4 linked regions of the Elephas maximus indicus genome follow. The protein of the gene in region 1 binds, or shares a complex with, the protein of each later gene. Links are inferred from orthologs where the notes say so. Each region holds a gene or a part of one and is shown on either strand. Other genes may lie near its edges.

The links.
Region 2: the proteins of MED25 (region 1) and MED16 are in contact, whole or in part, in a cryo-EM structure (PDB 7EMF), measured with the Homo sapiens proteins. The link is inferred for Elephas maximus indicus from reciprocal best matches to the Homo sapiens genes MED25 and MED16. Residues at the interface, in NP_112235.2 of Homo sapiens: Ala26, Asn27, Gly29, Pro30, Tyr31, Val74, Asp75, Cys76, Ala77, Pro78, Glu79, Val82, Cys84, His85, Pro87, Lys102, Phe103, Met104, Gly105, Gly106, Gly107, Gly108, Glu109, Thr120, Gln123, Leu124, Asp127, Phe128, Tyr151, Leu152; in NP_005472.2 of Homo sapiens: Cys41, Arg42, Ser92, Ser94, His113, Arg161, Lys163, Phe171, Gly172, Gly173, Lys174, Pro195, Gly485, Tyr486, Ala516, Ala517, Gln520, Val521, Thr524, Arg525, Ile554, Ala555, Ser558, Lys561, Ser562, Leu563, Leu564, Arg565, Pro566, His567.
Region 3: MED25 (region 1) and MED7 share a complex: the UniProt entries of both Homo sapiens proteins name them as parts of the mediator complex. The link is inferred for Elephas maximus indicus from reciprocal best matches to the Homo sapiens genes MED25 and MED7.
Region 4: MED25 (region 1) and MED26 share a complex: the UniProt entries of both Homo sapiens proteins name them as parts of the mediator complex. The link is inferred for Elephas maximus indicus from reciprocal best matches to the Homo sapiens genes MED25 and MED26.

What each region holds. Positions count from the first base shown.
Region 1 is NC_064829.1:100,254,545-100,262,372, reverse strand, and holds the start of MED25 (mediator of RNA polymerase II transcription subunit 25), read right to left. Parts: upstream 3,203-7,828; 5' UTR 3,159-3,202; coding exon 3,025-3,158; intron 2,930-3,024; coding exon 2,884-2,929; intron 2,730-2,883; coding exon 2,605-2,729; intron 1-2,604. UniProt on the Homo sapiens protein: Component of the Mediator complex, a coactivator involved in the regulated transcription of nearly all RNA polymerase II-dependent genes.
Region 2 is NC_064821.1:626,060-633,659, forward strand, and holds the start of MED16 (mediator of RNA polymerase II transcription subunit 16), read right to left. Parts: upstream 3,131-7,600; 5' UTR 3,014-3,130; intron 2,031-3,013; exon of another isoform or gene 2,002-2,030; 5' UTR 1,994-2,001; coding exon 1,861-1,993; intron 1,059-1,860; coding exon 951-1,058; intron 666-950; coding exon 496-665; intron 1-495. UniProt on the Homo sapiens protein: Component of the Mediator complex, a coactivator involved in the regulated transcription of nearly all RNA polymerase II-dependent genes.
Region 3 is NC_064820.1:173,622,824-173,630,297, forward strand, and holds the start of MED7 (mediator of RNA polymerase II transcription subunit 7), read right to left. Parts: upstream 3,134-7,474; 5' UTR 3,048-3,133; intron 1-3,047. UniProt on the Homo sapiens protein: Component of the Mediator complex, a coactivator involved in the regulated transcription of nearly all RNA polymerase II-dependent genes.
Region 4 is NC_064821.1:36,781,972-36,790,304, forward strand, and holds the start of MED26 (mediator of RNA polymerase II transcription subunit 26), read right to left. Parts: upstream 3,474-8,333; 5' UTR 3,434-3,473; coding exon 3,290-3,433; intron 1,313-3,289; coding exon 1,238-1,312; intron 757-1,237; coding exon 1-756. UniProt on the Homo sapiens protein: Component of the Mediator complex, a coactivator involved in the regulated transcription of nearly all RNA polymerase II-dependent genes.

The sequences.
Region 1 (7,828 bases):
GAGTGGAGTGCCTCCGTGCACTTACTGGGGAGCTAGAGCTTTGTAACACTTTCCCAAGCAGGGCAGAGGCCAGCCCAAGGGGCCTAGGGGCCAAAGGAGAGGCTTGCCTGCAGCCACCGCCAAGGAGCTGTCCTGACTGAAGAATTGTATCCTGAGTCTCCTGAGTCATTCCTGATCCTGAATTGTAACCTGTTATTTCCCTAATAAGGAGCCCTGGTGGCACAGTGGTTAAAGCACTCATCTGCTAACCAAAAGGTCAGTGGTTCAAACCCACTAGCCATTCTGCAGGAAAAAGATGTGGCTGTCTGCTTCTGTAAAGATTTACAGTCTTGGAAACCGTATTGGGCAGTTCCACTCTGTCCTATGGGGTCACTAAGTTGGAACAGACTCAACGGCAGTGGATTTTGGGTTTTTTTACTTCCTTATCAAACCCCATAATCCTGAGTACCGTCTGTGAGTTGTACGGTCATTGCAGCGAATCATCGAACCCAACAGAAAAGTACAGAGTGCCATGGGAGGCACAGCTGATGGAGGGAGGAGGTATGTCTGACCTCCCCTTACAGGAACTAGCCTTGGGCTGATGCTGATGATTCACCCTGCCATTGAAGTTAGACAAGGTCAGATGCCATCCACAGGCCACTTTTACAGAGTGTGAATGATATTTAATTTTCATGTCATCCCTATTAGAGATCTACGTCAGAAACGACAGAGACAGTATTTAGATGCCTACACAGCAGATTACATGACAGTGACTACTGTGAACATTACATGAGAGCTCAAAAATTTTGCCAGCAGGTTGCTGGAATTCCGCAGTGAGCTCACAAAGTATTTTTATTTGTTTAGACACTGTCTTCTAAGTTGACTGTGAAGAGTAGATATGTAACTAAGGTGTTTAGAAAGCACTTGTTATCTCCTGTTATGGTTGATAGTTGTCATCTGGTTAGACCCCAACTCATGGTGACACCGTACGTTACAGAGTAGAACTGCTCCACACGGATTTTCTTGGCTATAATCTGTCATCGATTCATTTAGTTATCAAAATGACCCTATGAAGTCGTGATAACCAGGCTCCAAGATAACCACGGACAATCCCCGCTCCTGGTATTCACGGCCTTGTGTAGTGCCCTCATTGGGTCTGAAAGGTTATACAGAGGTTTACTAGACGATCGAAGTATGAACTACATTCTGGGTATTCCTAGACAGTCAACGGGGCTGACTCGTGTGCCAAACAGAATTTGGCAGAAGTGACGGTACGTGATTTCTGACACTTTTTAGGCCTTGTGGCTCCCTCGTGATCTACGTTGGACTGCTCACTGTAGGGCAAACCAGCTGCCGTGCTGAGAAGATACTGAAGCAGCCATGTAAGGGAGCCATCTTGGAAGTGGTTCCTCCAGCCCCAGTTCAGCCTTCAAATGACTACAGCCCCAGCCAACATCTCAGCTACAACCTTATGAGAGACCCTGAACCAGAACCTCCCAGCTTGGCTGCTCCTATGTTCCTTGCTCACAGAAACTACATGAAATAATGTAATGAACATTCGTTGTTTGAAAACACTACATTCGGGGGTAATTTATTATAAAAAATCAAACTATTGCAGTTGAGTCAACTTCAACTCGTGGCGTCCCCAAACATTATAGAGTAGAACTGCCCCATAGGATTTTCTTGCCTGTAATCTTTATGGTATCAGATCACCAGACCTTTCTTCCGTGGTGCCACTGGGTGTGCTCAAACCACTAATATCCAGGTTAGTAGTTGAGCCCAAACCATTTGCACAACCCAGGGACCCTGATTCATTATGCAACAATGGCTAGGTACTACAACAAAAACTAACATAAGCATGATCAATGTCTCTGTTTTACAGATGGCCTACATCAAGCACAGCGGGAAAAGGGACTCCTGGGTCTGAGAGTTAGCTTGTAGTCTAACAGTATTCTAACCCAGGCTAACTCCAGAGTTTGCACTATGAACTATGAAAATCCACTCCAAACCACAGAAGGATCCACTTGGCCTAGCCCTGGGCCTCCTGCTATCAGGCTTCAATGTTGTTAGATGCTGTCCAGTAAATTCTAACTCTTAGTGACCCCATGTGACAGAGCAGAACTCCTGACAGGGTTTTCTAAGCTGTAATTTTTTTTTTTTTCCACTAATTTTGGGGGGAGCAGATTGCCAGGTCTTCCTCCCATGGAGCCACTGAGTAAGTTAAAAGTGCCAGCCTTTTGGTTAGCAGCCGAGTGCTTAACCATTGTGCCACTAGAGCCTCTTGACTTCAATGTACGCATCTGAAAAAGAGGCCTGGAGTAGACAGGAAACAGCGGGCAGTAAGGCAAGGGCACAGCTCAGTCACTGATGGAGTCTGAGGCAGATGCTAGAGCTCAACCAGACCTATCTCATCTGACTGGTTAAGTTTTTCCTGCTTTCAAACTGGATGACATACAGAACCTGCCACAGAAGTGACTTAGGGACAAAAACACACAAACGCCCTCACAGAGTCCTTTCAGCCACCCAGTGAGAGTGAATGGCTCCTGCAGCTCACACCCAAGCAACCATTCATTCACCCTTCCTCACAGGATTCCCCAAACTGCCCCAAGAAGGGAAGAAGCTCACTTAATGCCATCGAGCCAGGTGACAAACTCATAAGCGCTGCTGGTAGGAGCGTGACATTGTACGTAGGACTCGGGAGCACAGTCCACCGTGTTGAATACGACAAGGCTGTACTGGGTCCCCCCATACTGAGAGGAGAAGAGAAGAAACATTTAATCAGGGCCCCGCCCCCTCCTCCCTCGGACCCGGGAGTTTACGTCCCCGGGCCCCTCCTCCCTCAGAGCCCGGAGTCCCTGTCTCCCGGCCCCCTCCTCCCTCAGACCCCGCGGTCCCGAGACTCACGTCTCCACCAAAGTCCGTCTCCGCAGGAGGACCACCATTAAAATACCTGTCAGGGTCGGAAGTGAAAGGTCGGGGTCAGGCAAAAAGGTGAGGAAAACTAAAGTTGGAGGGCGGGGCCGCAGTCGCGGAAACCTCACTCACTCGATGGCCGGGAGCAGGTAGTGCTTGCGGAGGCCCTCGAAATAGGGCCCCAGGTTTGCCGTGCCTTCAATCACAAACACTACGTCGGCCACCAGGCCCCCGGCACGGGCCGGGCCCTCGGAACCGGGGACCATGCCCCGAGCAGCAGCCGCCACCGCCGCCGCAGCCGCCGCCACCTTCGCGGAATGGCCGGAAAAGCGCCTGCGCCGCGCGCGTCCCCGCGCGGGGCGGGCTCCCGCAGCTGCTGACGCCCCCGCGGCCATGTTTGTGCGGGGCATCCAGGACGCCTTTGCCCCATCTTTTTCCTTGCTTGTTCCCTCAGAATGGGAGACTCGGAAGAGGCTTAGTGAATTATTTCAGGAGCCTAATGCCGGAGATTGGATTATCGGCCGGGCCGAGGAGAGCTACACACATTCAAAGTGGCTATTCGCCGCCATCTTTGAGCGGGGCACCGCTGTTTACCACTCCGGTCAAAATCCGATTTGGCCAAGAGATTTGGTTGCTATGCAACTAGGCGGCACTTGTTTTCTAAAGGGAGATTAAGTTTCTATCTGGTGGATGGGGGGTTTGGGGAAAGGTCCAATCACATCGCTGGAAACAAGGTTGCTAGGCAATCATTTAAGGTTGCAGTCAACTTGGAAAGGAGTGCAGCTGTTACCCCCCGCCCCCCAAACTAATTCCAACTCAAGTAGAGGTTGGTAGGCAACACTTAATGGATGTTTTCTGGGAGAGGGCCCAGAAACTGACCAAAGACATAAATACATTCCAGGTGGATTAAAAATCTGAATAAATGAAACCATGAAAACATACGAAGTAAAACAGAAGCACACTGTGTAATCTTGAAAACTGGAAAAGAGTTTCATGGCAGGTGTCATGGACTGAACTGTGTCCCCCAAAAATACCTGTCGATTTAGCTGGGCCATAAGTCTCAGTATTGTGTGATTGTCCACCATTTTATGTGCTTTTCTTATGCGTTGTAAATCCTATCACTATGATGTAATATAAAATGGATTAGCAGCAGTTATATTGATGAGGTCTACAAGATTAGGTAGTGTCTTAAACCAATCTTTTTTGAGATATAAAAGAGAGAAGTGAGCAGAGAGACATGGGAGCCTCGTACCACCAAGAAACAAGTGCTGGGAGCAGAGGGCCTCAGGTTCGTGTGCTGAGATGCTCCCAAAGCAAGGGAAGACGATGAAAAGGACCTTCCTCCAGAGCTAACAGAGAAAGAAAGCTTTCCTCTGGAGCTGGCACCCTGAATTTGGGCTTCTAGCTTACTGGACTGTGAGAAAATAAACTTCTCTTTGTTAAAGCCATCCACTTGTGATATTTCTGTTATAGCAGCACTAGATGACCCAGAGAGCAGGCAAAACCAGAAAACTTAAATACTGATAAATTTGTCCACAAAAGACTCCATAACTAAATTGAAAGATAGACCATAAACTGGGAAAATATTTGTAACATGTGTATCGACAGAAATTTACTATGCACAAAAAAAATATTAGAATTTAAAAAAATAGAGATACTTTGTCATTTAAAACACGGGGAAGAGTCCGACCAGTCTTTTCAAAGAGAAAAATTAAAACGGGCCAGTAAGTATATGAAAACTCATCTCCACTAATTCAAAAGTGCTAACGGAAAGTCCAGGGACATAACAGTTTATGATTTTCATGTTAATAAATATTTAAAAGAACAATAATGTCTATGCAGGCAGGAGGGTTTGGTGAAATGAGAAGTCTCATGCATTATCACCTTGCTCCAGTGCAGTTTGGCAGTGTATTTTCAAGCCATAAAAGGTGAATTCCTTTTGAACACAGCAGTAGCAGCATTTTGCCACATTTACTTTATTGGTCTCTTTTTCTTTTATTTTCTTAACTGAAGTCATTTAAGGAAATCCCTAAAGTCATATCATTTTTACCTCTACATGTTTAGCAGGCATCTAAAAATTTATGGACATTTCTTACATAACCACTGTGCCATTATCACTCCTAACAAAATGAAGTTAGTTCTTAGTATTATCTAACATCAAATCTGTAATCAAATTTCCCCAATTCTCTCAAAATGACTTTTTAGAACTGTTTTGTTTTAACCAGGATTCAAACAAGGACCACACACACAAGTATTAGACATTTTTAATCTAGCAAAGATCCCCCCTCCCTATTTTATGCCAGTGTAACTAAATTTTTAATGATTTTTGAAAGAAAATAAGATTAACAGAGAAAGGAAAAATGGCCAACAGGTTAGAATAATATTAAAATGGTAACTCAAATTCTGCCCTGTTAACTATAAGGAAACTTTCATTTTGATGAGCTGAATGCTTGAGTTGATTGGTTTTTAAGCAATTCTATTTTTGTATTAGGAATAGTAAAATATAAATTAGATAACTTAAACTGGACTTCAGCTTCTGGAATTATGATGGCATAGGTGTGCTAACATTTTCTGAGGCACTGCTTTCATAAGAGGTAGGGATAGCCTTCAGGGATTCCCTCCCTTCTGCCCCCCCCCCCCCCAAAAAAACAGGACCAGAAAATTACAAAAAGGAAAGAGTTCGGGGGAAGAACTGCATGCACCAGGAAGGGACTGTGTTGGCATTGCCAACAGCATGGGGACAGTTGTGAATTGAAAAACATGAGTCTGGTTCTCCAGCTAAGCCAGGACCTTCCAGGGCAGCTGAAGCAATTACGGGTTGGTGTCACTCCTGGCAACCTACAGAAGTAGAAGTAAATAATCCCCTCAGGACTCAAGTCAATATCAAGTAGTGAGTTCACAAGCAAAGACCACCAGCTCAGTGGTGAGGACTATATGTTAGAATCCACAGAAACCACCCTTGATAGACACAGACCCCCAAAGACTCCTGTTACTGGAATTGTCAGGCTCACAATGTACCATAATGTGAAATATGGTGGAAGAAATAACGGACATTAAATTGCCTTGTGCTATAACAAATTATCCCAAAACTTTGTGGATTATTACAGCAACATTAATCATTTCAGTTTTTGTAAATCAGGCTTAGCTGGGTCTTGGGCTTCAGAGTCTCTCACAGGCTGTAACCAAATTGTTGGCTGGGGTGCAATCATCTCAGTGCTCAACTAGGGAAGGAGCTGCTTCCATGCTCACTCATGTAGTTATTGGCAGGATTCAATTCTTCACAGGCTGTTGGTGGAGGCCACCTCAGTTCCTTGGCACATAGGCCTCCTCACTGGGAGCTCACAAGGAAGCTTGCTGCATCAGAGTGAGCATGCAAGAGAGCAAGAGAAAGTGCCGGGAAGAGAGCAAATCCAAGCAAGACAAAATTCATAGATTTTAGAACCTAATCGACTCGACGGCACTGGGTTTTAATCTCAGAAGTGCCATTCCATCAATTTTGCCATATTTGGTTTGTTAGAAGCAAGTCACAGGTCCATCTACACACAAAGGAGAGGGGGTGTGTGATGGCTAATGTTATGTATCAACTTGACTACACTATTACAGTACAGTGAATTACTTAATATGGCCCATCTAGCCATAGCCTTTTTAACTTCAACCAAATGACTGGGTAGGACTATGCAAATGAGGTGCTTTGACCCACTAAGGGGATTGGATAATGTACATAATGTGCACGGCACCCTCGTGGGGGTAAAAAAAAAAAAAATGCAAATAAACTGTATGGAACCAAACAAAGGGATTGGTCAGTTTTGCCATCCCACTGGGACCATCCAGATGTGAGAAGAGAGGATCTCAACACCACCAAGAAAGAAAAGGCAGAAGTGGAGCATGCCCTTTGGACCCATGATCCCTGCACTGAGAACCTCCTACCTCCAGGAGACAGAGAGAGGAGCTATAACATGGAAGAGACAGGGAAAAGGCACAAATCAGAAGACGGGCATGAGGAGGCTGCGGTGGGGCTTCCCGGCACACAGGGCAAGAAAGCCCAGCACCCTCGGGCACTTATCAGCAGAGCTAAAAGAACTTTGTAACACTTTGTCCAAGCAGGGCAGAGGCCAAGGGGCCAGAGAGAGGTGTGCCTGCAGCAGGGCTGAGAAGAAGCTGTCCTAGTGGAAGAACTGTATCCTGAGCATTTCTGAACCTGAATTGTAACCTGATACTTCTCTCATAAACCCCGTAATAGTGAGTATTGTCTGAGTTCTGTGTGGCCATTGTAACAAATGATCAAACCCAGCAGAGAAGCAGAGAGTGCCTTGGGAGGGATGGTTGGTGTCAGAATTGGTAAAAAGGTTGGAGAGGGGGATGCAGACCCCATATTCTCATAAGACCAGACTTAATGGTCTGACTGAGACTGGAGGGACCCCGGCGGTCATGGCCCCCAGACCTTCTGTTGCCCCAGGACAGGAACCATTCCCGAAGCCAACTCTTCAGACATGGATTGGACTGGACAACGGGTTGGAGAAGGATGCTGGTGAGGAGTGACCTTCTTGGATCAGGTGGACACTTGAGACTATGTTGGCATCTCCTGCCTGGAGGGGAGATGAGAGGGTGGAGAGGGTTAGAAGCTGGCGAAATGGACAGGAAAAGAGAGAGTGGAGGGAGAGAGTGGGCTGTCTCATTAGGGGGAGAGTAACTGGGAGTGTGTAGCAAGGTGTATATGGGTTCTTGTGTGAGACACTGACTTGATTTGTAAACTTTCACTTAAAGCACAATAAAAATTATTAAAAAAAGAAAAAGGTTGGAGCAAGGAGGCATGTCCGCCCTCAGCCTCACAGGAATCAGCCTTGGGCCACTGGTCATGATTCTGTCTTCCCCTTGGGAAGTTAGAGAAAGTCAGCTGCCTCTGCTACATTTCTACAGCTACTCAGTGGTGTGGTGG
Region 2 (7,600 bases), on another chromosome or scaffold:
TCCCGCACTGCCACGCTCCTAGATCAAGAGAAGACTGATGGCAAGGTTCTTCCTCCAAAGCCAACAGAGAAAGAAAGCCTTCCCCCGGGGCCGGTGCCCTGAGTTCGGACTTCCAGTCTACTGGACTGTAAGAACACAAACTTCTCTTTGTTAAAGCCATGCACTTGTGGTATTTCTGTTATATCGGCACTAGATGACCAAAACACAGGACTTTGGCCAATAACTGCTCCTGCTCCAGCTATCTTTCTGATACACCATAACTTTAAAAATTTGGGACTGTTCCAGTGACGCTTCCTTGGCCATGACTGAACCAGGCAGAACCCGTTTCAAGCCCCACTGACAACCAGGTGCTCATCCCAGGTGTGAACCAGGCCCAGGGCTCAAGAAATCAGGGGACAATGGTGGTGGTGGGAGACGGGGAGACAGGTGGCCAGGTGAATGGGTAGGATGGCAAGATCTCACCCACCAACCTACTCACTCAGGTGGGCCACTCACCTTTTCCACATGGAGGGCCAGCTTCACTCCATTGTGTAGCCAGGACAGGGCCACGATGGGGTCCCCCTCCACCAGGCTGCCCACTGGGCTCTCCCAGCTATTGGCCAGGTGGTCTGCCATGCCCCAGCACTTGATCTGGCCGTCAGCATCGGCCGAGAGGAGCCGGGAGCCTGTGGGGACAAAGCTGCATCACAAACCTTCCCCAGAAGGCAGGGGCAAACTCCCAAGGGGCCTGGGAAGGGGGGACAGGTTTCGAGGGTACAGACGGTATGAGAGGAGTGCCCAGTGGAAGGCGTGGCCTGGGCAAAGGCCCAGCAGTCGGGAGGCCTGAGGTGCGCTCAGGAAACGTCTCTGGACACAGTGAGCAGGAGAGACTGATGGCAGGAGGTCCAAGTCCCAACTCTACAGTTGGAGATGTGAGCATGTCGCAGCCCAACCCGGGGCCCGTTCCTCACCTGACTGGTCCCACTCGAGGCAGGTGATGGCCTCACGGTGCTCCGAGTCAATGGAGTGCACCTCCCAGGGGTGTTCCGTGTCCAGGATATGGATCATACGAGTCAGGTCTGTGGGACGGAGCACGGTCAGCATGGCCCGGAAGTGGTACGGAGCACCGTCAGCATGGCCCTGAAGGAGCACCCTGAGGACCCCAGGCAGGCTCAACTGAGCAGCCCACCAAAGACCCCATTCACAGGGAAGCTGTGGAGCTGCCATCAATCACGTTGAGGACAACGGTGACACAGTGAGGCGCGTGTGTGACCCCGCCAGAGGAGAGAGGCAGGCAGGGAACACACCACTGCCAATGTAATTACAACCACGTTCTCACAAAAGGCACAGAAAACAAAAATGGGAGAAAATGAACCCAAAACGCTAACAGTAAGCACTTGTCCGTGGAAGGTAACAGGTGGTTCTTTTTCCTAGTTCTAGTTTTCTGTGCTTTTCTAATTCTCTCTAACGAGCACATATTATGCAGACGATGGCAGAGAGAGACCTGGGCACTGTGTACTTCAGAGATTTTCAAAAGCCAAACAGTGACCCATATGTTCAAAGACCGAATGGAAAATGGGGCGAGTGAGTCTCCAGATACGCCTCAGTGACCCACCACCCCCCGTCCCCACTCAATCCCGTGGGAGTGAACCCAAGCACCTTGCAGGTTCCAGGCATGAGAGGTCTCCATGTTCACCCCCTGAATCCCTGTGAGGTTGGAGATCCCACTGCCCCCAGGTTATAGACAAGGGGGCAGGGTGAATGGCCAGGCTGCCCACTGGGTGAGGGGTGGAACCGGGGTCCTAGACAGGCCTGAGACTGAGCCCCACGGTGCTGGCTCCCCAGGACTCCAGGGGCACTACTGTGGTGCGGCCAGCGCACCTTGATCATCGTTCCGCAGGTCCGTGGTGAAGGCAATGAGGTTGCGGCAAGACCAGGCGCAAGCCAGGGGCACGGAAGGGCAGAGGGTGCTCCTGGGCCATTTTTCCCACTCGCAGACGTAAGCCAGGTCCATTATGCCACCTGCCACACAGCACGGATGTCACTAGCTCCTGAAGGAGGGAGGGCTTGTCATTGATGTTGGCGCCTGCAGTGTGCCAAGTGGCACTCTGGACCCTAGACATACCGCAGGAGTAAACAAAGCAGATCAAATCCTTGCCCTGGGCACTGTGTGTGTGTGGTGGGAGGATCTGCAGCTTTAAGTGGGGAAGCGATATGTGAGCACAGGGGTGAAGGAGGGAGGCAGGAGACATCTGGAGGAAGAGCCTCCAGGGAAGGGAACAGGACGTGCAAAGGCCCTGAGGCAGGACCAAGCCTGGCGAGTTGGAGAAAGGCAGCAGCATGGCTGTGGCTACAGCGAGTGAGCAGGGAGTGAGCAAGAGGAAGGAGGAGGGAAGGGCAGGGGGCCCACAGGCAGGCTGTGGACGAGGAGGACTCGCCCCGGGGCCCTGGAGGGCCGTGGCTGGAAAAAATCAAAAAACAGGAGCCCGACGGCTGTCCGCAGGAGCCCGCGGGAGGCGAGGGCAGCACACGGAGGACCCTGATTGGTGACACCGCGGAGTCGGGCTCACCCCAAAGTCTCCCCAGGCTCCTCCCGGGGACCCCACCCCAACGTGTCCCCGACCAGGCCGCCCACCAGCCCCGTCCTCCCCGGCCCCGCCCCCTGACCCGCGGGCCCCGCCCCCTGACCCGCGGGCCCCGCCCCTGACCCGCGGGCCCCGCCCTCATCAGCATTTGCTCTGCAGTCCTCGCCCCGATTCCCCCACGGCCCCCAGGCCCTGACCCCCGCGGACCTCAGGCTCCACCCCAAGTTCCCGTAACAGCCCCTGGGCCCGCCCCCGGCGCGCTGGCCGCGTACCCAGCACCCTTTGCTCCCAGACCCCGCCCCCCGGCCCTGCAGGCCCCGCCCCCGGAACGGTGGCCCTCGAGGCCCCGCCCCCGCCGGTTCCACCTATTCTGGCCCGCGCTCCCCGGGGCCGCGAGCAACGTCCGGACGCCGGACGCCCCCGCCGGGCCCGCGCAGCGCCGCGCTCACCTGGCCAGCCCGTGCGCCAAGCCGATCGGGCGGCCACGGCCCGCACTCGCGTTAACCCGCGGGCTCCGGCGCCGCCATATTACCCGGGACCAAAGAGTCGCCTGCGCGGCGTCGCAGCTTCGCAGAGACTTCTGGGACGGCCCCGCCCCAGCGCCATAATTTGCATGCGGTGGCTTATTTACATGGAAATCTTCCCAGCAGCCATCGCAGTTCTAGTTGGTAGAACAACTAGGGGACTTTCTCCACGGCAGTTATTCTTAAAATTTTTTGTTATTACTCCATGTGTTGTACTAATGTCATATAAAGGATTTATAGATTGCTAACCTTAAAAAAAGAGTGACCTTTACTGTAAAGAGATGAACAGGAGATACTATAAATATGGGACGGACTAGCGTGGTAACCGTGCTCGCTTCGGCAGCACATATACTAAAATTGGAACGATACAGAGAAGATTAGCATGGCCCCTGCGCAAGGATGACACGCAAATTCGTGAAGCGTTCCATATTTTGGTTCTTATTTCCAATCTTCATTGGAGGGTAAACTGAAGCTCCAAGGCTTGTCCCGTGGGGGGAACTGCCGGTTCCAAACCTGATTTCTTTTCCAAAATCTCATTCTTTTCCCCCCGCCAGCACTGCCCCTCTTGGGCTACCGAAGAAAACGTTCTAAAGTTGCAGGCAACGCTTCTAGCGCACCCCAACCCTGGGGAGCACCCCAACTCCGCAGCCCGTACCTTAATCCCCAAGGCTTGCCCTCTGGGAACCACTTCCCGGATAGTGACCCTCGCGCCGGTCAGTCCAGCCGGGTCTTTTGAACCCCGCACTGGGCACGCACCACCTCTACCCAACGTTTGGATTTCCATTTTCAACATCTGTCTTGAAAACGTTTTAAACGTGTGTTAAAATGGAATCGCGCACGCCCAGCGCCCAGATCTTGGTTCCCCAAATCACGCTCCGATAGTTAGAACCGGGCTCCTTGGAGAAATGGCCGATTCTAGGAGGGTGCAGAAGTATACAAAATGTGCCAGAAAATAAGGAAATAACTCGGTAAATAACCCCCCCACATGATGGGGTAGGTCGAAAGGACGCAGGAGACAACCGAAGAGCTCCCCAGGGCTGAAGTGGAATCGCTTAAGCAACAAAATAAAGTAGTATGGGATTATAATCCAAAATTTAAAGTGATCCCCCTTGAGTTCATAGTGTTATAAATAGATGATTGGATAATGTCACCGACTGAATTATGTCCCCCCCAGAATCTGTGTATAAACTTGGTTAGGCCGTGTGTGGTTGTCCTCCATTTTTGTGATTGTAATTTTACGTTAAGAGGATTAGGGTGGAATTGCAACACCACCCTCTCTCAGGTCACCACCTAGATCCAATGTAAAGGGAGTTTCCCTGGTCTGAACCACCTTTCATCTCTCAAGAGATAAAAAGAAAGGGAAGCAAGCAGAGAGTTGGGGACCTCAAACCACCAAGAAAGCTGCACCAGGAGCAGAGCGTGTCCTTTGGACACGGGGTCCCTGTGCCTGAGAAGCTCCTGGACCAGGGAAGATTGAGGACAAAGGATCTTCCTCCAGGGCTGACAGACAGAAGGCCTTCCTCTGGAGCCGACGCCCTGAATTTGGACTTGTAACCTACTAGACTGTGAGAAAATAAAATTCTCTGTTAAAAGCTATCCACTTGTGGTATTTCTGTTATAGCAGCATTAGATGACTAAGACAGATAAATTAATAGAGGGAGAACAGAGATCTCCCTGCAGAATTCAAAATACTCTGTGTAGATTCTCCAGCCTTACGCCCACCCCTAAGTGTGGGTGCATAGTGATGTCCTTCCAAAGGGCACAGCTTGGAAAGGGGGGAAAGGGCTCACTTCACAGTGCAGACACCTGACAACTCACCTGAGCCAGGTGAGCAAGGTCAATGTCACAGTGACGGTTCATGTGGACTGTATGCACCCTGATATGGTGAGATGGGGAGGGCACCTCACCCCTGGGGTTTCCTCCCCAAAACCCACAGCCTCAGTCTCCTCATGAGAAAAGCGCCAAACCCCAATCAAGGGGCCTCCCACAAAACTCCTCAGTAACACCCTTTAAAACCATCAAAGTCTCAAAAACAGGGAAAGTCTGAGAAACTGTCGCTGCCTAGAGGAGCCTGAAGAGATGCGAGAACTAAAGGTCCCGTGGGTCCCAGAAACAGGAAATCAGGGAAAAACGAAAGAAATTTGAATAAAGTGTGGACCTTAGTTCATGATAATGTATCAGTGTTGTCGTTTGGCAGCCAGTCGATTTCAAAGCATGGCGTTCCCATGTGTGCAGAGCAGAACTGAGTCAATAGGGTTTTCAAGGGTGTGACCTTTCAGAAGCAGATAACCAGGCCTTTCTTCCTAGGGGCCTCTAGGTGGGTGCCATGGATTGAATTGCGTGCCCCCAAAATGTCTGTCAACTTGGCTGGGCCGTGATTCCCAGTATTGTGTGATTGTCCATTTTGTCGTCTGACGTGATTTTCCATGTGTTGTGAATCCTGTCTCTATAACAGAAACCCTGGTGGCATAGCGGTTAAGTGCTATGGATGTTTACCAAAAGGTTGGCAGTTCAAATCCACTAGGCGCTCTTTGGAAACTCCACAGGGCAGTTCTACCCTGTCCTATAGGGTCACTATGAGTCAGAATAGACTCCACGGTAATGGGTTTGGTTTTATGATGTTGATGAAATGGGATTAGCACGGTTACGTTAATGAGGCAGGACTCAATCTGCAGGATTGGGTTGTGTCTTGAACCAATCTCTTTTGAGATATAAAAGAGAAGTGAACAGAGACAGGGGGACCGCATACCACCAAGAGAGCAACACTGGGAGCAGAGAGCGTCGTTTGGACCCAGGGTCCCTGAGCCTGAGAAGCTCCAAGACTGCGGGAAGATTGATGACAGGACCTTCCTCCAGAGCTGACAGAGAAGGCTTCCCCTGGAACTGGTACCCTGAATTTGGACTTCTACCCTCCTAGACTGTGAGACAACAAAACTTCCTGTTTGTTGAAGCCATCCACTTGTATTTCTGTTACAGCAGCACTAGATAGCTAAGACAGTGGGTTTGAACCGCCAACCTGTCAGTTAGGCATCAAGCTGTCACCCAAAGACTCCCCAGTATTGATATTGTTCATTATTGTGACAAATGGCCACACTGATGTGAGACGTTCAAAAAGGGGAAAGCAGGCATGTGGTGGATGGGGCTCTCTGAACTGTCTTCCCGGTGACTGTAAATCTGACGCTGTTGCTGTTCTAAAGTAAAAAGGCTATCTTTCTTTAAGGGTCTGAATATCCGAAGGCCACACTGGATCAAGATTAAAGTCCTCAAGGGAGGATGGTGCCATGACTGTGCAGAAAGTCCCCGTTCCCGGAGCCGAACAACTGAGGGTGACAGACTCCAGGCCCGAACCTCCCTCTCAAAATGGCTCAGAACAGGAGATGCAGACCCCAAATTCTCGTAAAAGACCAGACTTAATGGTCTGACTGAGACTAGAAAGACCCCAGAGGTTATGGTCCCCAGACCTTCTGTTAGCCCAAGACAGGAAGCATTCCCAAAGCCAACTCTTCATACAGGGATTGGACTGGACTACGGGGTAGAAAATGATACTGGTGAAGAGTGAGCTTCTTGGATCGAGTAGACGCATGAGACTATGTGGGCAGCTCCTGTGTGGAGGGGAGATGAGAGGCCGGAGGGGGTCAGAAACCGACTGGACATGAAAATACAGAGTGGGGGGAAGGAGTGTGCTGTCTTATTAGGGCGAGAGCAACTAGGAGTATATAGCAAGGTGTTCACAAATTTTTGTATGAGAGACTGACTTGATTTGTAAGCTTTGACTTAAAGCACAATAAAAAAAAAAAAAAGGCTCAGAAAATAGTCATTGGGAAATGGATCCAGTGACCAGAGGAATGGCATTCACAGGCCCCTCCTGCCACCTCCCTGGCGTCTGAGCTTCCAAAACAAAAACACTGTGAGCAGGGGGATACAAAATTACCATTGGTGGGAAACAAATAACCCAGGCCAGGAAGTGCAGCTAAATAGATTTCTGAGCATGGTATTACTTGCCCTGAGCCAGGGTTTTACCTGCATCAATTATCTCACATAATCCTCCTGCCGACCCTGTTTATCACATGGGGAAACTGAGGCACAGAGAGGTTAGTGACGCATCCAAGGTCACACAGCTGAAAAGAGGCAGAGGTGGGATTCGAACCGGGGGTACTCAAGAGATTAACGGCCTGGCAGCACCCAACAGGGTTCCCATGAGTACCTTCTACAGGGATAGCATTCTTATCAGGGAATCTCATCCCGCCAGGCCTGCAGCCCTCAGTGACCAGCACACACACCACCCAAAGAAAAAGCCGCCCAGCCCGAGGGCAGAGCACCAGAAATTTATTGAACCCTCCATTTTCCCAAAAACACAACTAACCACACACTCGGAAGGGGGGTCCCCAGCCCTGCTCTCACAGCCTGGGGTAGGGTGACCAGCAGAGAGGCCGGAGACTCCCTGACTCAATGGGCCAGAGCCAGGCTGGGGGACACAGGGGACATGAGGTGGGGGAACAGGGCTTTCTGAGG
Region 3 (7,474 bases), on another chromosome or scaffold:
TCCCAGGAATATTTTTGCTTTCACTACTGTTCTTCTTTGTAGTAGCCAGTATAATCTTGTCTATTATTGTAGTGAACTAGCAATACTGTCTTCAGTCTAGCATTCTTTCAGATTTAATTGTATCACGCTCTTCTGCCTTTGGCCTTTCCACTTGCTATTCTTTCTGCTTGGAATGTTTTTCTGCCTGATCCTAGCATGGGGCTGGCTTCAGGCATTAGCTTAAACTATCACCTTTTCACAAAACAGCGAGATCAACAGTAGGTCTTCTTTTATTCTCTGTACTAGTATCCTGTTTTTCTCTCCCATCAGACTGTAAACTCCAGGAGGGGAAGGATTGTGATAATCATAGTTCTCATTACGTCCACAGCCTTGCAGGTAGGACCTTTATAAATATTTGAGCAGCTCCATCCATTTCAAGAGGGCTCCAATCAATGGGAATTTGAGAGTAGGCTCAAACATCCTTAATGAGTACGCATTTCTCAAATATTTTTCTGTATGAAATGAGTATACAGGCAACATGATTACAATGATAGCTAATATTTTAGCGTACACTATATGCCAGACACTGTTCTAAATATTTTTCTCATAGTTGTGAGAAATCTGCAAAAGGTACTCTTATTGCCTCAGTTTTAGAAATGAGATAACTGGCTCAGAAAAGTTAAGCTACTTGCCTAATGTCACTGAGCAAGTAGCAGAGTAAGGATCCAGAGCCTAAAACTCTTAAATACTACACTATACCATTTTTCTAGACACTGCCTCCATCTTAGTATTGCTTGCAATCTTAGTAGAAAACAAAACTAAAAATTCCACATAGGAAAATATATCGTAAGCAAATTTTTAAAAGATAGTAACTGGGAGAAAAATGTTTGCAATACATAACAGTAAATACTAAACATTTTATTTTGATGTTTTAAAACTTATTTTCAGACTCCATCCCCACTAGAAGGAAAGCACCATAGTATCAGGAATTCTGCCTGTCTTGTTCACAATTCTATCTCAGCACCTCAAACAGTGCCTAGGAAATGCCTGATCATCAAAATAGCCACTGAATGAGTTTTTTAAAATCTATGCTAAAAAATAATAATAGACAAAGGATGAGAAGGAGAAAAATGCCAAATAAAGGTGGGAAAATGTTCAGACATACATTTTTCAGAACAAAACTTAAAATGCTATTTTTCATTTAATGGACTATAAAGATCTCAAATATCCCATCATTCAGCAAATGTCTGAACACTTCCTACATAGCAGGCTCCAGCAGAGGTCACACTCTCAGTTTCTTCAGAGTGGTCACCCAACTTTAGAAGCAGTCCCTTAGCTATTCTGGCCCAGCAGGTATGCCTTCTCAGGTGGAGGGCACCCACTCACTGCAGCTCTCACGGAAGCAGCCATCATCACTACCACTGCATGACTCCCCTAAGTGGTAAGCCAATACCACCCAAGAGAATACGGGGAATTTTCAGGCACAGCTGATGGGAAAGGAACCTAGTAGGTATTTGGAATTTAAAATGGCAATATCCAAATTTTACATGCTGATATTCTTTAAACCAACAATCCCATTTCTAGAAATTTATCCTATAAAAATACTGGTACAAGTACACAAAAACATGTACAAGGATGTTTAACATAGCACTGTTTGAAGAGTAGGAAAATTTGAAAATAACCTATGCCTTCATCAATATGAGGACTGGATAAAATACAATGTCTAATACTCTACAGCCATTTAGAAAAAATGGGTGAGTATGTGTGTGGTTGGGGGGGGCATTTATAAATATTGTTTCAATTATTTACAACACACTTAGTTGCAAACAGTTAAATCAACTTTTTAAAACTTTATTTTAACAAATTCAGAACTCATATTCTTCATCCTGATTTCCCAAATTTTAACATTCTCCTCATTTGCTTTAGCGGCTACTCATCCTTTACCCATAAAGTACTTCAGTGTGTATCCCAAAAACCAGAATGTTCTTTTATAACCACAGCATAATGATCAAACTAGGGAAATCACCATCCATACGGTACTTCAAAATAACATTTTGGACATCCCAGGTTTCACCCCACACAAACCTTTTTTCGGTTGGGAGTCCTGTCCTGTATGTATTCCCCAGCACCATTAGCATTCCTCTATTTAAGTCGCCATTTTCCAAAGGCCAACTACGTGACAGGTACCATTGTTTATATCCTTACTTAATTTTCATAATTCTATGATGAAGATCCCAGGGCTCAATGTGGGAAAGTACTTGCCTCAGATCAAACATTAGTAAATGGCAGAGCGGGGATTCTTATTCTTATCCCAGATTCTTTTAGTTGCAGAGCTCTTCATTAGCAAAGCTATGAAGCTTCTAACTGTACCACTGAGACTTGATATATTACAGAAATTGTGTTCATTTCTCCATTTCCTCTTAGATGGAGCTTTTTGATGATGGTGTTTTACTCATTTTAGTAAAACCAGCGCCACGCATCATAGCCGGTGTTCATACTCAACATCCACCTTCTTAGTGTTTGTTCCGTTCTGGGGACTTAAAAAAAAAAAGTATTCCAGGCCCCCCCACCCCAGGAATTTGATTCAGCTTGTCTATAGAGTGCCTCTGAAAAGTCGTTTTTAAAACCTCTCCAGGCGAGTCTGACGATTAACCTTGAGATCTATCGCCCCCCTGACCTCTATTAGCTCCCTGATGTGGGAAGGACAGAGATGGTTCTTTCCATTTGACAAAGGGCCAGAGGGAAGAAATAATTCGCCCATGGCAACACAATTTAAAAAACCGGCGGCGCGGGGCCTAGAACCCAAGCTCTCAACCTCAGTGCGGCTCGGTCTCCCCACCCGGACGAAGCCTCGAGTCAGCTGCGCAGGCAGCACCCTGCGGCCGGGTGTCCACTCAGGGGGTCGGGAGGCCGAGCTCTCCGAAGGAAGGGGAGAAAAAGGAGGGCCACCCTCGGACGGCGCGCCTCCCCAGGCCTCCCCCAACCCCAGCCCAGCTCTGAAATAGGAGTAGGGTCCGGAAGAAGAAACGCACGCAGACCGGAGCCCCAAGCCGTCGCCATCCACTAACCTCAGCTCTGGGCTTACACCGGTAGCCGCCTTAGCCACTGCCACCAAAATCCGATTTCCGTTCTCCTTCCCCAGGAAGAAGCTCCTAGGCGCTGTCCTCTGATTGGCGGAAAAGACTGTCTTTTCCCGAGACTCTAGTCCCGCCTCAGATCACTAGGTCGCTATTGCGCCTGCGCGGCCTCACGTAGTAGGCACAGCCGCTAGGAGGGGTTGGAGGTGAGCTTGCTGGTCTGTGTATTTTCAGTCATAAAAAAGAGAGGCTCATGGCTCCGTTCCTTTTTTTCTTTTAATTTTTTTAAAGTGCTTAAGACAGTTAAACAAAGCATCCATATGGTTTGTATAAAAACTAGAAAATACAGGTAAAATTTTTAAAAAAATTATATCAACAAAACTCTAAACCCACGTCAAAATAGTGTAAATATATAAAATATAAATAAATACGTATTAATATATATAACGTAAAAAATGACTAAAAATGATATTGGACTCTATATGGTACTTATAATTCTTTTAAATAAGGGTATATTTGTTAACATGCTTGGGAGTTACATGTTGTGAATCTTCATTCTTCATCATCCATTGACTTTTATTTTCATTTAGGAATTCAGAAGGGTCTATTTAATATTTCCAGGCAACAAATTACCAAGTTAAAAAAAAAAAAGACTCAGACTTAAAGGTTTCTTATAGAGGTTATTTTTGTAAGAAGTGGCACAAATTTCTAAATTTGTGGGAGTCTTGAAAGAGCTGTGGACCAAATAATACAAGTAGAGATGAATTTTAACAGAGCAGAACAAATGGGTAGCTTTTATGAAAATCAGCATGTTTTTGTGAAAAATAAGATTAATATTCATTCTGATAAAAGTTTGCAGCAGTTTTACCTCCTCAAAAATAAGATTCATTGCTTTTTTTTTAACTTACTGTGAAGAATTTCTAATATACACAATAGCAGAGAGAATAGTGTAATCAATTTCTGTATGCTCAGCACTACCCTGAATAACTACTAGCCGTAATTTCATCTGTATTTCAGCATGCATTTTCAAAAAATATACACTCATTTCCTTAACATAACCAGTATCATTATCTCATTTAAGAATAAACTAACAATAAATCTTTAATATCAAATATGAGGCCAGTATACAAATTTCAAGTATCTCAGGATCCAAATAAGGTCCACCTTTTGTAATTGACTGTGTCTTTTAATTTCCTTCTAATCTATAGGTTCCTTCTCCATCTCAGTTTTCCCTCATCTCAGTTTATTTGTTGAGATAACCCATAATTTCTGAACATACCCCAAATAAGCTCTTCTCATTTCCCTTGACATTGTTCTTGTCAAGGTCACCAGTGACCTACACTAATGACCTTCAATGGCCATTCTCAGTTCTCGTTTTACTACTCCTCTTAGCAGCATTTGACACAATTTGGTCATTTAGATTATTCTGGAATTCAGTTCTTCAGATACTTCTCGGTCAGATATTATCCAGGCCCTGGCAACACCCTCACCTCTGAGCTTTAGACCCCCGTACCAACATTATTAGACCTCTTTACTGCCAGAAAGTCAAGCTAGATTCAAAAGAGGATGTAAAACGAGGGATATCATTGCTAATGTCAGATGAATCTTAGCTGAAAGTAAAGAATATTAGAAAGATGTATACCAGTGCTTTATTGACTACGCGAAGGCATTCAACTGTGTAGGTTGTAACAAATTATGGATAACATTGTGAAGAATAGGAATTTCAGAACGCTGATGTGAAACCTCTCCGCAGATCAAGAGGCAGTTGTTCAAATAGAACAAGGGGATACCGTATGGTTTAAAATTGGAAAAGTTGTGCATCAGGATTGTATCCTTTCATCATACTTTTTCAGTCTGTATGCTGAGCAAATAATTTGAGAAGCTGGACTCTATGAAGAAGGTTGCCGGCATCAGGATTGGAGGAAGACTCATTAATAAGCTGCAGTAAGCAGATGACACAATCTTGCTTGCTGAAAGGGAAGAGGACTTAAAGCACTTATGGATGAAGATCAAAGACTACAGCCTTCAGTATGGATTACACCTTAACCTAAAGAAAACAAAAATCCTCACAACTGGACCAGTAAGCAACATCATGATAAAGGGAGAAAAGATTGAGGTTGTCAAGGATTTCATTTTCCTTGGATCCACAATAATATCCATGGAAGAAGCAGTCAAGAAATCAAACGATGTACCGTATTGGTTAAATCTGCTGCAGGAGACCTCTTTAAAATCTTTGAAAGTAAAGATGTCACCTTGAGGACTAAGGTGCACCTGACCCAAGCCATAGTATTTTCAATCACTTTAGAAAGCTGGAGTGTAAAAAATGATGACTGAAGAATTGATACATTTGAATTATGATGTTGGTGAAGAATATTGAATATACCATGGACTGGCCGAAGAATGAATAAATCTGTCATGGAAGAAGTACAGCCAGAACGCTCCTTAGAGGCGAGGATGGTGAGACTTTGTAGTGCTTACTTTTGATACTTCATGAGGAGGGACCAATCCCTGGAGAAAGTACATCATGCTTGGTAAAGTAGAGGGTCAGTGAAAAGAGGAAGACCCTCAGTGAGATGGATTGACACAGTGGCTGCAAGGATAGGCTCAAATATAGCAACGATTGTGAAGGTGGCACAGGACCAGGCAACATATAGTTCCATTTTACAGAACGTCACTATGAGTTGGAGTCTAATTTACGGCACATAACAACAACTATTCACTCAATTGCAAAGGCTCAAACATGAGAAGTCATCCTTTACTCCAGCTTCTTCCATATTCCACATCCAAACTACTGGCATTTTGTGTTCTTTTTTTAATAAAGTCCCAAATTTGACTAGTTTGCTCCATCCCACTGCTATGATCATATCCCACACCACATTTATCTCTCACCTGGACTTCTGAAATAGCTTCCTAACTGGTCTCCTCAATTTAACTTTTCCCCCCTCTTACTCTGTTTACTAAGGAGCCATGGTGGTGCAGTGGTTAAGCACTGGGCTGCTAACCAAGGGGTCTTCGGTTCGAACCCACCCTACCAGTCCATGGGAGAAAAGATTTGGCGACTTGCTCACATAAAGATTACGGCCTAGGAAACTGTATGGGGCAGTTCTACTTTGTCGTATAGGGTCACTATGAATCGGAATCAACTTGACAGCTCACAACAACAATCTATTTACTATTCTGTCTTAAAGGATAGATTTTTATCACTTCTCTACTAAAATTCTTAATGGCTTCCCATCTCATTTAGAATAAAATTCAACGGAGTCACCATGGCCTACGAGGCCCTTCAAAATTTACTTCTTGGCTCTCTTTCAGGTATTATTTCCCACCATTTTTCTCAGTGTTCACCCTTCTTCAGCGACACTGGCCTTACTAATTTTTCCCTGTAAAATCACTAAGCACACTTCCACCTCAGAGCCATTGGTTTGCCTAGAACTCTGCACAGACATCTAATGCCTCACTCTCTCACTTTGTTCAGGTCTCTGGTCAATTGTGACCTTTCTCAGAGAGCATTTCCCTGGCCACTCTGAATAAAATAACACACCCCCAGTCATTCTCTGTCTCCTTATTCTGTTATCCTTCCTTCATAGCACTTGTCATCATCGGAATCATTGAGTATATTTTTTATTTTTTGTCTTTTCCATCAAAATGCAGGGTTCATGAGGATAGGGCTTTTGTCTATTTTATCCACTGTTGCATTCTCAGCACCTAGAAAAGTTTCTGAATTAGCAAGTGCTCCATGAATATTTATTAAATAACAAATATATAATCGTATCTCTTTTTTTTTTTTTTTTGCTTTGAAAACAAATTTATTTTCTCACAGTTCTGGAGGCTAACGGTCCAAATCAGGGTCTTGGCCATGTCAATTCCTTATCGGTAGCTCTGGCTACCGATTTCTTGGTTTCTTGGCTTGAAGTCGATCCTCACGTGGCATCTGTCTTCCTCTGTGTGTGCATCTGTGTCTAACCTGCTCCTTTTGTAACTCAGAAGTGATTAGATTTAGGATATGCCCTACACTGTGTTCTCAAAGGATTGATTAACTACATTATATTACATTATGGAAAATGATTATATTAAATTGTATTCACAGGTATAAATCAGTTGCTGTCTAGTTGATTCTGACTCATGATGACCTCATGGGTGTCAGAGTTGAACTGTACCTGTTACAGATTAAATTGTGTGGCCCCAAAATGAGTGTCAGCTTGGCTAGGCCATGATTCCCAGGATTGTGTGATTGTACACCATTTTGTCATTTGATGTGATTTTCCTATGTGTTGTAGATCTTACCTCTATGATGTTAATGAGGCAGGATTAGAGGCAGTTACATTAATGAGCCAGGACTCAATATACAAGATTAGATTTTGTCTTAAGTCCATCTCTTTTGAGATACAAATGTGAGAAGTGAGCAGAGAGACACGGGG
Region 4 (8,333 bases), on another chromosome or scaffold:
CACTGATGGGGGCCGTGGTGAGGGGCTGGGCACTGAGCCCTTGGGCACGTATGGGCTCCGCTGCCTGGCGAAGGGGCCCTCATGCCGTGAGTTCCGAGGGCTGAAGGAGCAGCGGGGGGCGCCCCTGTGGTGGGGGGCCCCTGGGGTCTCGTCTACCCTGTCCAGTGGCTGCAGTGAGGCAGCCTTAGCCCCCAGGCCTGGGCCTGGTGAGCTGGTGTGCGGCCTCACGGCATTGACCGGGATCCAGCCACTGTGCTTGTCGTTCTCGCCAGGCTCCAGGCGGCTGCCCTCAGGGCCTGTGTGGCCGCCGCTGTCCAGGGGACCAGTGAAGCTCTCAGGGCTCCCGCTGATCCCATTGGTGGGCAGGGGGGAAGAGCTGGGGGCCAGAGGCTCATGGCTGGTCTTGCTGGCCTTGGGTGGTGGCCCAGGGTGGCCAAGGTCACGCTGGTCTCCCCGGCGCTTGCGGCTGCCCGGCCTGTCCAGCCGCTGACCAGGCAGCCTCTGGATGTCATTGCGGCTCTTTAGGTCACGGATGCTCCGGGGCCCGACGGCTGCCCCCGCCTCTGGCCGGCAGTTGTGAGCGCCCCCGTTGGCAGAGCCGGCGGTGCCAGGCAGCCCCCGCAGCGCCGCCTCACCCTGGTGCACAGGTTCAATGAGCTTCTGCCAGCTCCGCAGCAGCTTCTTGGCCCGCTTGGCGAGCTCCTCGTTCTTGGTCTTCTTGCGGACGTCGTTGATAAGCTTCCCCAGCCGTGTCTCCTGCAACAGAGTGGGTGGTGAGGGGCGGGGTTCCTGGCCCGGGAGAGGCCTCCCAACATGAGAGCTCTGCGACAGCTCTACCTCCAGCCCTGCTCCCTGGGGCCCACAGGCTATGGATGGCAAAGCCACGGCCACCCAAGGACCTAGTCCTCCAGGCAAGGGCCTCCAATGAGCAGAGGACTACCCCAGGTGTGCAGTTCACATGGGCCAGGATCTGCCCCACCTATCTCCGGTGAGAGCACCCAGTTCCTGCAGTGCTTTATGTGACAACTCGGTCTTGGAGCACACCGGCACCCTGAGGCTTCTGACAGGATGGCACCTCGCTCAGTCCTCTTAAGGCCAGTAAGGCACATTCTACAAACCTCCTAACTCATGGGTAGAGACCTAGGGGCTCGGGCACGCCAGGGAGGATACAGTGGGGAACCTGTGCCCTGCCACAGCGCCCCTGCTCCCGCATCCCCAGGACAGCAGCAGCACCCACCTCCAGTGCCTCTTTGGTAATGGGGTATTTCTCCAGACTGGAGATGACTTCCAGCACCGCCACCATGTTCCGGATCTGTAAGACAAGAGCCGCTGTCAGTGCCTGCCCCTGTTCCCCTACCCCAGCTCAGGGCAAGCAGAGCTGGCAGCGCCCAAGCCCCTACCTGCCCCTAGGGGCTAACATGGCCCCCCCCGCACCCCCCCTCTGAGCTTCTACCTGGTTGGCTTACTGGGACCCAGACACACCCCTGCCTGCATGCAGTTATCACGTACACAGCCTGCGTGTGCCATCTGATTTGGCACAAAGCCTAAAGGAAATGATCAATGTGCAATAAACCGATCACTGTGATCATACTGAAATCCAGACCTTCCAAAGAGACCAAGACAGTGTGAAAACACGAGCCGCAGGGACATGCGACCTCACGAAGAGGCGGACAGATTACATGAACTGCCCAGACTACAGAGGCAAATCCACAGAGATGGATGTGGAGTGGGGGCTGTGGGGCTGAGAGGGGAGGAGGAGGAGGGAGAGTGTTTCTCCTTGGAGTGTCTGACTGTTTGAGAACTAGATCGTGGTGATGGCTGCACAACACTATGAATGGACTAAAGCCCAGTGAATTGTACTTTTATAGGCCTAAAGTGGTGAATTTGATCTTAAAAAAAAAAAAAAAAATTTTTTTTTTCATTTTAATTAATATTTTTGGTGAGAACAATATACATGCTCTCACTCCAGTTTGTAAACATAATGACCAATGACACTGTTATGTTCTTCACACTGTGCCAACATTCTTGTTATTTCTGTTCTAGTTGTTTCATTTCCATTAACTTGTCTCAAAACATTTCTTAAAACAGGATCAAAACATTTCAACACCAATAAGCTAAGGCTTACTCCCTATTAATCAGGAAAGTGCAAATTAAGACCACTACAGATACACAGGAACCTGGTAGAAGTGGTGTCTGGGATACCTGGTCGTAGGGGTGCAGCCAGCCTCAGGAACCAGCGTGGGTTTACCTGGTGAAGTTGAGCACGCACAGACCCCAGGCCCCAGTGAGTCTATCCCTGCCCCATGCTTGCTGTCTGCCGGCCCGCTCAAAGCCCTTGACCTGTGTTAACTCCTTCAGTCATAACCACCCTCCCATCTTGCAGACAGAAACAACGTGTCCAGAAAGGCCGCTGTCTCCTCCAAAGCCCTGATCGCGACCAGGACCTTGCCCCTGAGGAGAATGGCTACTCTGTGGGTTGAGAGACGTGAACGAGAAGACCCATGACACTGCAGCCACAATGACCACAAGGGGTCAGGATCACAACACAGGGTAACCGAGAGCTGAAGGACTCGACTACATTGACTTGAGAGGAAGTGTGCCCAGCAATGGGAATGAGCGAGCCACAGCTGCGTCAACAAGGATGAATCGTAAACAATGCTGAGTGAAAAGTCACAAAAATACACACTGTCTGATTCCATTTACATCAAACACCAAACAGTAATTAGGAATGAACACAAATTCAAATGTAAAAGTTAAAACTCTAAAAGCATCATAGAAGCAGCATAGGAGAACATCTTTGCAGCCTTGGGGTACACAAAGACTTCTCAGGGGCCCCAAAGCACCGACTGTAGGAAGAAAATACTGACAAACTAGACTTTATCAAAATTAGAAAGCTCTGCTTGGTAAAAACTACTGTTAGTGAGCAGGCAAGCCACAGCCTGGGGGAAAAACGCTGACAAAACAAGTACCCGGTGAAAGACTTGGATCCACACTATATAAAAAGTTCCCACAGACTCAACAATAACCCCAGCAGCTATAGGCTTCTGGGGGCTTGTGGCAGGGCCAAGAGGGCTTGTTGGGGGCAGGGCGTGGTCGCAGGAGGCCCCCGCTGCACCCCTGTGAGTAGCAGTGAGCACAGCACTCCCCACCCCCAATCACTTGAATTTGTTTTCAGCTACAGTTGGGTCGTACAAATTAAAGTGGCATTAAAGGGCACACAGTGAAGTGTACTCTGCCCACAGCCACTTCAGCATCGCCTTGTGTGACTCCAGAAGCATTCCTTGCGTACATCAGCATGCGCAGACACCTGGCCCAGCCCTTCTTCATCCCAGGGACACCTGGGTGCACTTCCGCAGCCACTACAGATGAGGTCGCAGTGATGGCTTTCCCCAGCCGTGACCTGGGTTGACCAAGCGTAAGCAGAGAAACACATCCCGTCAGGTGGGGCTGGCCATCAGCCTGTCCCCCCTGCCAACCCTGTCCTCACAGGACCGTGTGCTGTGGGTTTTTTGTCACTGCCAAAACCATCACACATTAGTGGCTTAAACAACGTGCGTTTATTCTCTCTCGGTTGGGCAGACAGAAGTGGGTGAGGGTCTCACCTGCTGGAGGCAGGTGTGGCGGGCAGAGCCGGACCTGCAGGGTCGGAGGGAGGGTCTGAGTCCCTGCTCAGTCAGGTGGTGGAGGGATTCAGCGCCTGTGGCTGTTGGGCTGAGGTCCCCGTTTTCTCACTGGCTGTCCCTTGAAGGCCGTGTTCAGCTTCTGGATGTGGCCCCATTCCTCAGCCTGGCCCTTCCTGCATCTTCAATCTAGCAGTGTAGCCAAGTCCTTGCTTCGTCTCTCCGACCTGCTGGGATGATCTCAGCTCCTCTCTCCATCTCAGTACATCCCCATAGCCTCCTACCACGGGAGGAGCCGCATGCCTGGCTCCCAGGACCAGGACACAGGTGTCTTGGGGAGTTAGCCTGCCAACTGTATGTGTTTCTGCACCAGGGTGTTGGTGTCCCCTCCAGGTGTAAAGGTGCCCAGCGACCACAGCCAACTGAGAGGCCACTTGCCAAGCTGCCCTTCCACCCACGGCCCATGTGCTCCTAGGTGAGACTACCCTGCAACTTTCCTTGTGGGGCCATGTCTGTGAGCATATCTAAGGGGCATCAGCGGGAGGTGATCTGAGGTGAGATGCCTCAATGGGCAGCGAGCAGAGACTGGGTCTGGCACTGACGGGTCCCATCCTGGTGACCTCACACGGGTATATTTAGAGCCAGGTCCCGCAGGGCAAGCACTACTGCCCAGGCACAGCCAGCCGGCGGCACAGAGTGTCCTTGTCTTTGGGTGGATGTCTTCCTGCTGCCAGACGGGCAAGGAGGCAGAACACCTGGGCAAAGCAGGCGAGCACGTTGAAAATGGCTGGAACTGGTGCAGGACAGCTGGGAGCCGTGGGGGTGAAGGTCAGGTAATAGGCAGTGGAGCTAGGCAGCGACTACGTGCTCTTGTGCCCTTGTACTCGGGCAGAGCAAAGGCCTTCAGCTCTTATGATGTGTTTGGGGTGCTGGCACTGAGGAGTCGGGGGCTGTGGCTGCCTGGAAGTTCAGGATCAGCTGGCCTGATCCCCTGAGCTCTGCTCTCAGCATCCAGGCCAGCAGGGCCTGGGACAGGAGAGACGTCCTGCCTTGCTTGTCTGGATGGCCTTTTGCCTGCTTGATGGTGAGACACGGAGGAGCGTGGGAGCACCAGCCTGGCAGTCCCAATATATGCAGCTGCCCCCTTCCCCCGCCCCAGGACCAAAGCAGACCCCGCTGAGTACACTGGGAGGCTGCCCGGAGAAGGGTCTGGCTTGAGGCCCTCCCCCACCAGAGCCTCCCACAGCTTGCAGTCCGTGCATGGGGCCTGCTGGGGTGGGGGTTCCTGGCAATGCCACATAGTGGAGGAGCCTTCCCCAGAGGCATGGGCAGCACCAAGTGGGGCTGGGCCCCAGGGGACTGAGATGGGGACGGCCCTCTGCCCTTCCACCACCCTTACGGGGAGGCCCTGGGGGGCGCTCAAGGCACTGCAGGGAGGGCCCCACCCAGACCACTCAGGGCAGGCCAACTGTCAGGCTGAGGGCAGGACAGGGAGGTCATGAAGAGGGCAGGGTAGGAAGCTTCAGCTGAAAGAAGGGGGACAGAATACAGGGTCTGTCTCCACAAGCGATGGGGTAGAGGGCAACTGACCTACCAAATGGGGAAGTGGGCAAGGCTGGGGAATGAAGGTGAGGAGCTGGCACCCTGCCTGCCCTGGTCCCCACAGACCACGGTCTCTGTACACTTCCGTCCCTCCGATCCGGCTCTTTATAACAGTGTGGCCCTTAGGGGGTTTCTAGTGGTTCTGCTGCCTTAGTCAGGCCCTGCCCCTCTGGACTTCTCCCCAGGACATGTCCCAGTCAAATAAACTTCTGGAAACCACATGCCAAACAGTTTTCCTAAAGAATAGGAAACACACCAGCCAGGTCTGAGCCTGCAGCCAGATGGGCATAATGACTGGAGCACAGTTCTGCCTGCCCCACTCACTTATGTCCATCCACCCTGCTCTGCTGGAAGACAGGACGCAGGGAAAGGGTGACTGCTGCTCCAGCCCTGCCCATCCCAGGAGGTCCTGGCCCCTGCCAACGACAACACTTGCATAAAAATCCAGGGTCCTGTTGGCCTCCGCCAAGCCCAGGATCCCGAACCCAAGGAGCTGCTCCCTCTGAAATCCCGGGACCAGGAGGCGGGCTGCACTGAGAAACCCTGCCCACAGCAACGCAAGTGATGTGCCACCAAAACAAACCCCGCCTGAGCAAGTCCGCAGCTAACCCTCACCACAGGTCTCACACCTCTGCTTCCCAAGTCAGATCATCCGCCCAGAGCCTGGCCCCAGGGGCTGGGACAGACCCCAACACTGAAAGCAGCCCCCACATAGGGGGATTTCTGGGTCGGTCTGAAACAGGAACCGAGAGATAGGGCTCTTATGTCTGCATAGACATGCACTCTCACCGCCCCCTCCACACCCAAAAGGCCCCCTGCAGAAAGCCCCACCTCCGGGAACTGACAGCAGGTGTGCAGATGCACTGGGAAGGGGGACCCCGGCCCATGGGCAGGAGTGGGTGGGGTGGGGTGGGGGAGGAGCAGCAGCCATCCTTGTGGGGCTCCAGGGGCTAAGCCCTTTCCTCATCACCCTCACACCCACTTGACAGACAAGGATATTGGCATTGGGGCAGGTGGCTTGTCTTGCTGGAGGCGGCAGGCCTCCCTCGCCACAAGCCATGTCTGAGGCTTCACCAGGTGGATGCGGGGATCTGGTGCCACTAGGCCACAGTGACGCCACATCACCCCAGGGAAAAGCACTGGTCACAGAGCTCCCAGCCTCCCTGAGCTGGTGGCTTCCAGGCTCGGCAGCACCTGTGCTGGTCTTAGGCCTGTCTCCGAAGAGGGAGGCTGGGTGTTGCCATCTTGGCAGGGGCTGTAGGCACCCCAAGGCTCCAAGTTTAAAGATGGGGTCGGGGAGCACCCTAGCCCCGACCTCTACCCAGCCTATCCCCCTGTGGAGCCCCAGCACATCCCCAGCCCAGCTCATGTCCTCTAGCCCCCACCTGCTGGCCCTGTGGGCTCCAGGCGGTAGGGGCAGCAGACAAGCCAGGGCAGCCCAGCGTGTAAACCAGCTTCGTGGTTTCATGCAGCATGGTTTAGGCTAGAATTTACAAAGACCATTTAACTTGAAGTTCACCAGCAAACCAGCTCTCTGTCCAACCCAAACCCGCCACACGTGGCACCAGAGGTGGTGGTCCAGTAAAGGTGCCCCTCTGTGTCCCCACAGACCCTGCTTCTGACCAACCCCACTGCAGTGTGATGGATTACTTTTATGTAGCCTTTCTCGCCATGGTCTTGGTAACTCCCATCCAAGTGATTGGGTGGGACTGTGCAAAAAAGGTAACTGTGGCCCACCAAAGGGATTGGTCAGTTTTGCTAGCCTGGTAAGCTTAAAATGAGCCATCCCAGAGGCATGAAAGAGAGGATCCCACTGCCACCAGGGAAGAACAGTCAAGAGTGGAGCCTGTCTTTTGGACCCAGGATCCCTGCGCTGAAAAGATCCTGGAACCAGGAGAGAGAGAAAGCAAACTGTAACATGGAAGACGGTGAGAAGCAGCGGCAGAGAAACAGCGGCAGGGAAGACCAGCAGCAGGGGATTGTGTGGGGGGCTTCCTGGCCAACAGAGCTAGAAAGCTGAGTGCCTTCAGGCAGGAGGCTTCCTGGAGGAAGCCTTCGAACACTTGGTGAAGCTAGGTTTGCTGATACACAAAGCTAGAGCTGAACCCTTTGGGTGGAGGCTTACTGGCAGAGTGGGGTGCCTCTGGGCGCTTACTGGCTGACCTAAAAGAGCTTGTAACACTTGCCTAAGCAGGGCAGAGGCAAAGGGTCAGAGACAGGCATGCCCGGGAGCACGTCTGGGAAGAAGCTGTCCTGATGGAAAAACTGTATCCTGGGCATTCCTGAATGTGAATTATAACCTGTTACTTCCCTGATAAACCCCATCATCATGAGCACTGTCTGAGTTGTGTGTGGCCACTGCAATGAATTATCGAACTCAGCCGAGCAGTAGCGTGTGCCATCAGAATTGGTAAAGAAGGCAGAGAGAGGCACATGTCTGATCTCCACCTCATAGGAATCAGCCTTGTGCTGTTGATCTCGATTCTCCCTCCCCCTTGTGAAGAGACAGGAGGTCAGATGCTACCCGACAATGTTTTTACATCTGCCCACAGGCCCTGAGGGAGCACAGGCCCATCCTCCTGATCCCCCCTTGGCCAGGCCCCACAGCAGTGCAGGGAGCAGGTCTTCCTCAAGCGGCTCCAACCCCCACTCCTCATCCAGGCGCCTTCCTCCCCAGAGGCCCCACCGAGCCTCACACCCTGTGGGGAGCCAGCTCTTCCATCCAGGGCTGCAAGAGGAAGAACGCCAGCCACTGAGCACTTACGAAGCGCTTCCTCTCCATGGGCCATCTGCTTCCCATGGGCATCTACAACCCCCAGGAGGGCACGCAACTGAGAATCAGACCTGGCCCAGGGACTTCCACCACCGCCGTGGAGACTCTGCAAATGGCTCCTAGGCCAGGCCCAGAGGACAAGGGGACCAGGCAGGTTTGGCACTAGCTGTGCCCCACAGAGCAGATGGGTGTCGGGCTACAAAGCCTTGGGACGGGACAGTGGTGGCTTGGCCCTGCCACCACTTAAGTCTGAGCAGCCCTTCCTGGCAGGACCTAACCCTGGCATCTCCTCTGCTGGGAGTCAGCCCCATGGAGAACATGGCTTGCTCCTTCACTGA